Linked DNA regions of Drosophila melanogaster. The protein of the gene in region 1 interacts with the protein of each later gene in a pairwise test. Each region holds a gene or a part of one and is shown on either strand. Other genes may lie near its edges.

Evidence for each region. Proteins that work in one complex are often made in the same cells at the same time.
Region 2: the proteins of CG11790 (region 1) and CG6733 interact in a two-hybrid assay, tested with the Drosophila melanogaster proteins (one large-scale study listed by BioGRID).

What each region holds. Positions count from the first base shown.
Region 1 is NT_033777.3:25,045,757-25,050,006, reverse strand, and holds CG11790 (uncharacterized protein), read right to left. Parts: upstream 2,302-4,250; 5' UTR 2,222-2,301; coding exon 2,089-2,221; exon of another isoform or gene 1,983-2,088; coding exon 1,658-1,982; intron 1,566-1,657; coding exon 1,404-1,565; intron 1,343-1,403; coding exon 1,217-1,342; intron 1,129-1,216; coding exon of another isoform or gene 1,119-1,128; exon of another isoform or gene 1,099-1,118; intron 736-1,098; coding exon 573-735; 3' UTR 552-572; downstream 1-551. Other genes in the region: CG11786 (uncharacterized protein), read right to left, coding at 2,647-2,726, 2,792-3,271, 3,526-3,634.
Region 2 is NT_033777.3:23,095,875-23,099,738, reverse strand, and holds CG6733 (uncharacterized protein), read right to left. Parts: upstream 2,012-3,864; 5' UTR 1,981-2,011; coding exon 1,890-1,980; intron 1,833-1,889; coding exon 1,341-1,832; intron 1,282-1,340; coding exon 864-1,281; intron 807-863; coding exon 602-806; 3' UTR 548-601; downstream 1-547. Other genes in the region: CG6738 (uncharacterized protein), read right to left, coding at 1-20, 75-165; CG17109 (uncharacterized protein), read right to left, coding at 2,626-2,830, 2,890-3,307, 3,368-3,856.

The sequences.
Region 1 (4,250 bases):
TACATTTGCGTGTATTTGGGTATCAGCGGGTGTATAAATAGCGTGTTTTGAGTGATTTACCCCAAGATACAAAAAATCCAGGTTCCGAGGAATACGCTTACGCCAACGATGACCGCTGCGAAACAAATAAAAAAAAACTGCCTAACAACACGATCGCGAATCTCACGCTTTACGAAACGAAACGCTGCTTTAATTTGAGCGTTCCACGCCAAACTATCATCGCACTTAAGCAATTGGCTAGATTGCTAGCCGAGTTAGCCCCTGAACTCCGAGCCCAGTTGCTAAATGGGCCGATCTAAATATTTTTGTTTGCTTGCCCGCTAATTAATTGAAAGCAATCAAGAGATAGGATATAGGTATTGTCAGCGTTGTGCGCCAGTGAACAATGGATCTTTTGCGATATTAGGTATCCATATTTGCATGTTCCGCTTCCACCGTTCCAGCCAAAAGAGCTGCCAGTTTTTGTGGCGTTAGGAATTGCAGCAGTTGAATTTTCGCGCCCACTTTTCCGCTAATTGTTGTCACTCGACTAATTCAAAAACGTCGTGTTTCATTTAGTCTTTATATTAGTTTTATTTCGACTTATTTTTTGTTTTCGCAGGCTCTGAACTGAATATTTTGGCAACCTTTTTGCCAACGAATAAGAGAGCAACTAAGGCGAAAATACTCAAAGTCGCCAGCGATGTTATGTTTTCAGCTGCAAAATAACTTTGCAGTGGGCCCAAAAATTCGTTTCTGAAAAGCACGAAAGTTAAAACATTAGCTCATTTGATCATTGGTTATTAGGATAAACGTTGTGTAGTATTAAATTCGATCTTCTCAAACCAGGAACTGTTTTAACCAGGGTATAATTGATTAATGTAATATTGTTTATGTACAAACTGGATAATATACAACGGTTACGATTAACATTTGGTTCGATATTAATCAACGGAGTGATATTAACAATTGTTTTATGCTCGATGGTGGAATCAGTGTCTATGTTGAATACCCTCAAACTGGCGTTATATGCAACCTTGTACCGGGGACAAAGAATCAGTATTTGTTAACTAATAGTAATTATTAATAGGTTTACAAGTTTTATCTTGGCTCACTTACTAAACACATGTATCAGTTTCTCACAAATCCCTATAAAAAGGTCATAATCGGACTTTGAGTTTAAAATTCGATCGATGGATGAATTTAAAATCATTTTAGCTATGAGAGGAATACTTACACGGCACTTGGGATTGCGGGCACTGGTTGAGGATGGCTCTGGGTATATCCCTTCTCAGCAAACTGGACAAAGGCTTCGGGACTGTATTGCTTGGCTGAATATTTGTACATCTTTCCTTGCCTCAAGCTGTAATGATTATAATTTATATAATCTATTCTTGGACACAACCAAAGCGATCAGGGCTTACAAAATAAAAGCCGGTGCTTCCAATACTCCCAGTCGCGTAGCAGTTGAGATTCCAGACTCCAAACTGTTCATGCGGGCAATATTCAGCTTTCGCTTTAGCTTTCCGCCCACAGACTCCCAAACGGCATAGAGTCGCTGACAGACGGTACATTCGGCCGAAGAGCTGGAAGTGGGTGTAGGTGAGCATATGTGCACATATATGTACATCTCATGACGCTTAGATGGCGACCTCAACGCATGACTAATATAGCTTACAAGAAGATAAACCAGTCCCCGGTAGTGGCACCCGACGAGGCTTGAGTCAGGTGCTCGAAGTTGTCGTCGGAAAGCTCTTTGACCGCTGGCTCTAAGTTGTCATTGAAGAAGTCTAGGATTTCGTCATCGTTGATCTCGCCATGGTATAGAATGGGTATTCCTCGCCTGAAGAACACCAAAGCGGGCTCCTTGCTGGGGTCATAGATGGATACCAGGTTGCTGTCCACCGACTGGACCACAATGGCCGACAAGGTCTCCTCCAGCTGGGCACGTATCTTGGTCACCATGTTCTCATATTCCACGCAGCGCTGGCAATTGTTTTTGTCTGCAATTAAGTGTGCTCGTTAGCCAGTAACCGGTGTACCATCCTCCATATGCACAGTGGACACGTAGGCTGGATTTCTCTGGCTGACTTTCCTACCAATACTCACTGAATAGGACAACCACATTGCTGCTGCCGGTCAGGAGTTGAATCAACTCGGTGTCGTCCACACGCCGCAAATCCTGGCCAACGGCACAGCCCAGACTCAGGGCTATAATAACAACCGATACTATGTGCAGCATTTTTTGGCTGTGGATCTGCAGCAGCGGAGTTGATCACTGGCGAATGCGAATGAATCCGATCGCAACTTGGATGCGGACGCAGAGTGAGCCCGTCTATCGATAGTCGGCGAAATGTATCGTCGCCAGTGATGCGCAAGGTGACAGCTTTCGTACCTAGGTACGTTTGCAGGTACAAATGTGTACCTTGGCTAATATTCTGGTAGATAGGCCGACTACTTAATGAGTACTGTTCAAGAACCTAATTAAGCGTATCAAGCCATCAGGATGTTGGATTGATTTAAGAACCAGTCTGAATCAATGATATGCCCCAAGTTCAAACACAAGAGTAAAATACGAAATACTTTTATTTATAAGACTTTAACAAATAAATAATCAAGTGTAATACAATTTGTAACAATGCATTTATAACTAATTTTGGTATTGATCTACGAACTTCTTCCTTCAAAACTTTCTATCGAGTTTATTACAAAATCGTATAGGTTCTCAATTTGTTGGGCTAGTTTATCTGTAAAAGGGAGAAATATAAATATTAATAATTAATGCTTAAAGCACTATATAGAAACACCTTACCCTTATCTGTCTCTACAAGTTTGCTTTCCATGCCATCGCTCTCACCAGATCCAGACATCATATCATCCTTGAAAATGTTTTTCAGCTTCGGCAGAACCAAGAGCAAGAAAATCAGGCCGATGAACTTGACGATTTTCTTGAATATCAACAGCTTGAGCAAAATCTTTCCAAGCGTATACAGATTGATCTTGGACTTAAGCTTTTCCAGAATGGAGTCGTGCGAATGGTAGGGAATGAACGGAGCTGGCTTGTAAAACGGAGGAGGTGGTGGTCCATAGGAAGGATAGCCAGCTGGCGGTCCATATTCAGGAGGAGGAGGCAGATAGTTGTTGTTAGGCGGTGGCAGGTAGTTGTTGTTCGGCGGCGGATTGTACTGGTATCCATTGTTCGGCGGAGGCAGGTACTCCGGAGCAGGTGTGGCTGGAGGCAAGTAGCTGTTGCTCGGCGGGGAGCTGTAGCTGTAGCCCCCACTATCGTTGCCTAATAAATGCGAAAGAATCTTATAAGTTTAGCATTCAAGGATAATCCAAGAAGTTAATCCAATGACTTCTGTCATAAAGATTTGAATAGTTGTTTGTACACTGAATTATCGTTTTAAGCACTCAGTGCCAATTGATAGTACAGAAACACATATATTTGTAAGTGTATATTATTAATTTCACTTTCAGTTTGCTTTACTATAAGGTTTTTCAGCACTTTAGAATCTCTTTTGATCCCTATTATCTTTCACACACCGAAATCCAATGAGTTCGAGCTTTGAATATCCCCGGAATAGCTATCTCCAGCACTAATGCAAATGCAGGAAGTGCATATAATCAGAACGACCAGGTATTCGGTACGCATTTTGCGATCGCGTTGAGATATGAGTTAAGCGGTTCCTAAAAGTACAATAAACGGTTTGCCTGCCGTCCGTCTCTTTATAAATTTGGGGCCGAAAACATTGTGGCAAAGAAAATATCAGGTGGACGGACGTGTGTGCAAGTATTTATAACTGCCATCGCATTTCCCCCGTAAGGCTTGGCCCCCACTTATAGGGCATATATGTGCAGCGTGGAGCCGGAGTGGAGGAATTGAATTCACTTGTGTATTCTTGCAAGAAATGTGGCTACCGTCTCACGTGCTGTTCAGTATTCATGCTACGTGCAATCGCTTGGATTGTGTTGGAGATTTCGAAAGAGACGCACAGAGTTCAATACAACTTTCACTACCCAACTTTCAAAAAGCCTGGAAATAGCAAACCGCCTATATTATATAGTGTTTGCCAGTTTGTGTTTCATTTGGGCATTTGACATCGAATTTTTGACAAATTGTTAAACCCGTTTTGTGGGAATTACGGATTTGCATAAGTGACACAAATTGAAGACATTTCGGACAAGTGTTGCGGTTGTAATACTTTTGAAGATACTTAGGAATTCTGTCAAAGATTGAAACCGTCATACGCAGTACGCAGTAACTACTG
Region 2 (3,864 bases), 1.9 Mb from region 1:
AATAAACTCCACACAAGCAGCTAAAAATGAATAGTGCTAATGCATTTAAGGAAATATTAAAATAAGGACCTTACTATAATCAATATTAGGGTGTACAGATGGAATTCGCAAATACTCCCGGAATATTCGAATTTCCTCGTTCTTTTCCCATTTTTCGGCACTCATTTTTAATATGAATCGTTAGGATGGTAAAGTAGAAATAAGCAGCTAAAGGCATCCGCTGTCTTTATATGCATTTGGATCGTGCCACAAAAGTGATTATGCGTATATGATAAGAAAATCGTTATCAATGGGCGGCAGATCTCTTCCAATTCTGACTATATTGCAAGTCACTTTGGATGGCAGTCGAGGTAGTGACAAGAAGCAGTATAGTTGACAATCTGCTACAGAATTCCCATCAGAATCATTTATATCTTGATCAAGGAGGCGAAAGTCAAAGAATCAACAAACAATATTGAGATAAACACGGAATTTCAAATTAAACTCTTGAATCTTTTTTTTTTTTTGATAAGATTACTCTCTAAAATGAAGATACGAGGCACACTTTAGTAATTAGCCCATCTTTATTATAGCCACGATCCATGTAGTTCAAACATTTTGTTTAGACTTCAGCCAGATTGCGAATAATCTTCTTGTACACATCAATGCCATTAAGATACACATCAGCCTGCAGAAACTCGTCGTGGTCATGGATCCGCATGGTGGTGTTTATAATGGGTGAGAATCCAATGGCTGGGGTACCCTTCTCCCGAATGAAACGACTGTCAGTGGCGCCAGGACAAACGATGGGATGAACCTTCAATCCACTAAAACACAGGAGGATTTCGATTAGCCATTATAGTTAATTTTTAGTCGGTACTTACAGCTCATCGATTGCGGCTTTGACAGCTAGCCAGTAGGGATTGGAATTGTCCAGCTTGGTGGGTCCTATATAAGGCTCCTTCTGGAAGAAATCAATTTCAATGCCACCACCCGCCTCCTCGCACCAATCGCGAATCTGTTTCTCAAAGGCAACCACATTCACAGTAATGGCAATCCGTATGTCGAAGACCGCCTCGAAAAGTGGCGGAACCACATTGCTCTGGACTCCGCCACTTAACTGGGTGAGATTCACGGTGGTCACATCGCCCTTGCTGAGGCTGGAATCTCTCGCAAGGTTCTCCACTTGCGAGGTGCGGAATTCAGTCAGTTTGTTGACCAGATAGTTCAGTTTTACTCCTGCCGTATTGGGTAGCAAAAGGGAACCATGACCAGAAGTTCCACTGACTTTCAGCTTGAGTCCTGCATAAAGCGAAACGGTAATGTCCCCAATCCATCATCATCATCCTTATGGAACTTACCCCATCGCAAACGTTCGGCGTAGAACAAATGATGAACGTCACTTTCACTAGTGGCGCCTTCGTCCAGGCTGAATCCCGCGTTCATTTTCTTGTAGTAATCCGTCTTAACAAACTCCGCCATGCCCAGATGACCACCAGTCTCTTCGTCGGGAACAAAGGTCACATACAAATTCCTTTTTGGTTTGAAGCCACTAGCTTTCAGCAGGCGAATCGCTCCTAGATACTGAGTGCCCACCGATTTCATGTCCTGAGTACCCCGTGCAAAGATCCTACCCTCTTCATCAATATCGGCGGAGAAGGGTTCATGGGTCCACTTCTCTCGAAAAACTGGCACCACATCCGTGTGAGAGTTGAGAACAATGGACGATAGTTCGGGTTGACTTCCTTCCCACTTGATGATCACAACGGGCTTCGTTTGAACAGCAGGATAAACCACTTCAACAGGAAGATTTAGGGAGCTAGCCTGACGTTTCAGGAACTCCACACAGGCAGCTAGACATTGAAAGACATTATAACGCAAACTTTAAAGAATTAAAATTAAGTCCTCACTATAGTCAACATCTGGATGCACCGTTGGTATACGCAAGTATTCCCGGAAAATCTTAATTTCCTCATTGTTTTCCCACTTTTCCGAGCTCATTTCGACACTCTTCTGTCATCAGCAACTGAGCTGCAACAAAGATTGTCTGTGCTTTTATAATCACACTGATTGCTTTCATGTTTATGGTCAAGGAATTTAAATGCTTATCAAAAGTGTATGTGGTTGCGATAGTAACGCCCTTATCTGCAAAACCCACACGTCTATTATCCGAATAAGTAACTTTTCTAAGCGGCAAATAGTTCATTATGTATTATCTATGCAACTTACACAGAAATGAGTTCATTGCGTATTATCTATGCAACCTCAACCTTTGAAACCTCAAGTTCTTGGTAAGTTGTCATGTATTTTTCAATATTTTCCATCATATCGTAAAATTATGACAAATTCAATTAAAATGACGAAGCTTTGATTGATGACCTTCGATTTGAAAAAATCAAGTGATTATTTTGGATTTAATGGGCTTCCCAGTCTTCCAACTTGCTATCTATGATGATACAGCAAAATGTAGATACATCCATTATCTACTTGCTGTCGCAAGGATAGCAAGTTGTATTCTTCAGATCTTAAGTTGATTAAGGTATTCGTTGAGATAAGATAAAAGGCCAGGAAGTTTTGTACTAACTTATAACAAAATCATCAATCTTTATTTTGATAAGGTTTTCATGTATTATTTCGATTTAGTTTTTAGACATTCGCTAGGTTGCCCAAAATTTTCTTGTATATTTGAATGCCCTTCAAATAAGTTTCGGCGCCCAAGAACTCATCGTGATCATGGATGCGCATGGTGGTATTTTTGATGGGTGAGAATCCCAAGGCTGGAATGCCCTGAGCTCGAATGTTCCTGCTGTCGGTGGCACCGGGGCAGACAATGGGGTAGATCTTAAGGCCACTATAAACATACAAATCGTATTAGGAACACGCATTGTTGAGCATTCGATTCAGACTTACAGTTCATCGGTGGCAGCCTTGAAAGCCAGCCAGAATGGATTGGAGTCGTCGATCTTTGTGGGTGCCACGTAGGGTTCCTTCTCGTCGAAGGAGATCTCGATGCCGCCACCTGCCTCCTCGCACCAATCGTGGATCTGTTTCTCAAAGGCAACCACATCCAGGGTGATGGACAGACGCATGTCGAAGACAGCCTCGAAATGAGGAGGCACCACATTGCTCTGGACTCCACCGCTCAGCTGGGTGAGATTGATAGTTGTCACATCACCGATGTTGATTGTCTGATCATTGGCCAGCCTCTGAACCTGCGATTCGCGGAACTCCGTCAGCTTGTTGAGCACATAGTTCAGTTTCACGCCGGCAGTGCTGGGCAGCAACATGGAGCCGTGTCCAGAGGTTCCACTGAAATTCAGCTTGAGACCTGCCAAAGAGGGGATATAGTTTAGATTCTAGTCCTAGATGTGTCTCAAGGATTACTCACCCCATCGCATACGTTCGGCATAAAAGACATAGAACAGATCTATTTCACTGGTGCCGCCCTCGTCCAGACTGAAACCAACATTCATGTTGCTGTAGTATTCCGTTTTGACGAACTCCTGCATGCCCAGCTCGCCGCCGATCTCCTCATCGGGCACAAAGGTCACGAAGAAATTGCGCTTGGGCTGGACACCACTTGCCTTAAGCAGGCGGATGGCACCCAGATATCCTGTGCCCACCGACTTCATGTCCTGAGTACCGCGCGCAAAGATCCTGCCCTCCTCATCGATATCGGCAGCGAAGGGATCGTGGGTCCACTTGTCACGGAACACCGGCACCACATCCATGTGCGAGTTGAGAATGACGGAGGGCAGCTCCGGTTCGGTGCCCAACCACTTGATGATCACCACAGGCTTCTTCTCCACTGGATATATAACATCCACGGGAAGATCCAGGCTGTGAGCCTGCCTTTTCAGGAACTCCACACATTCGGCTAGAAGT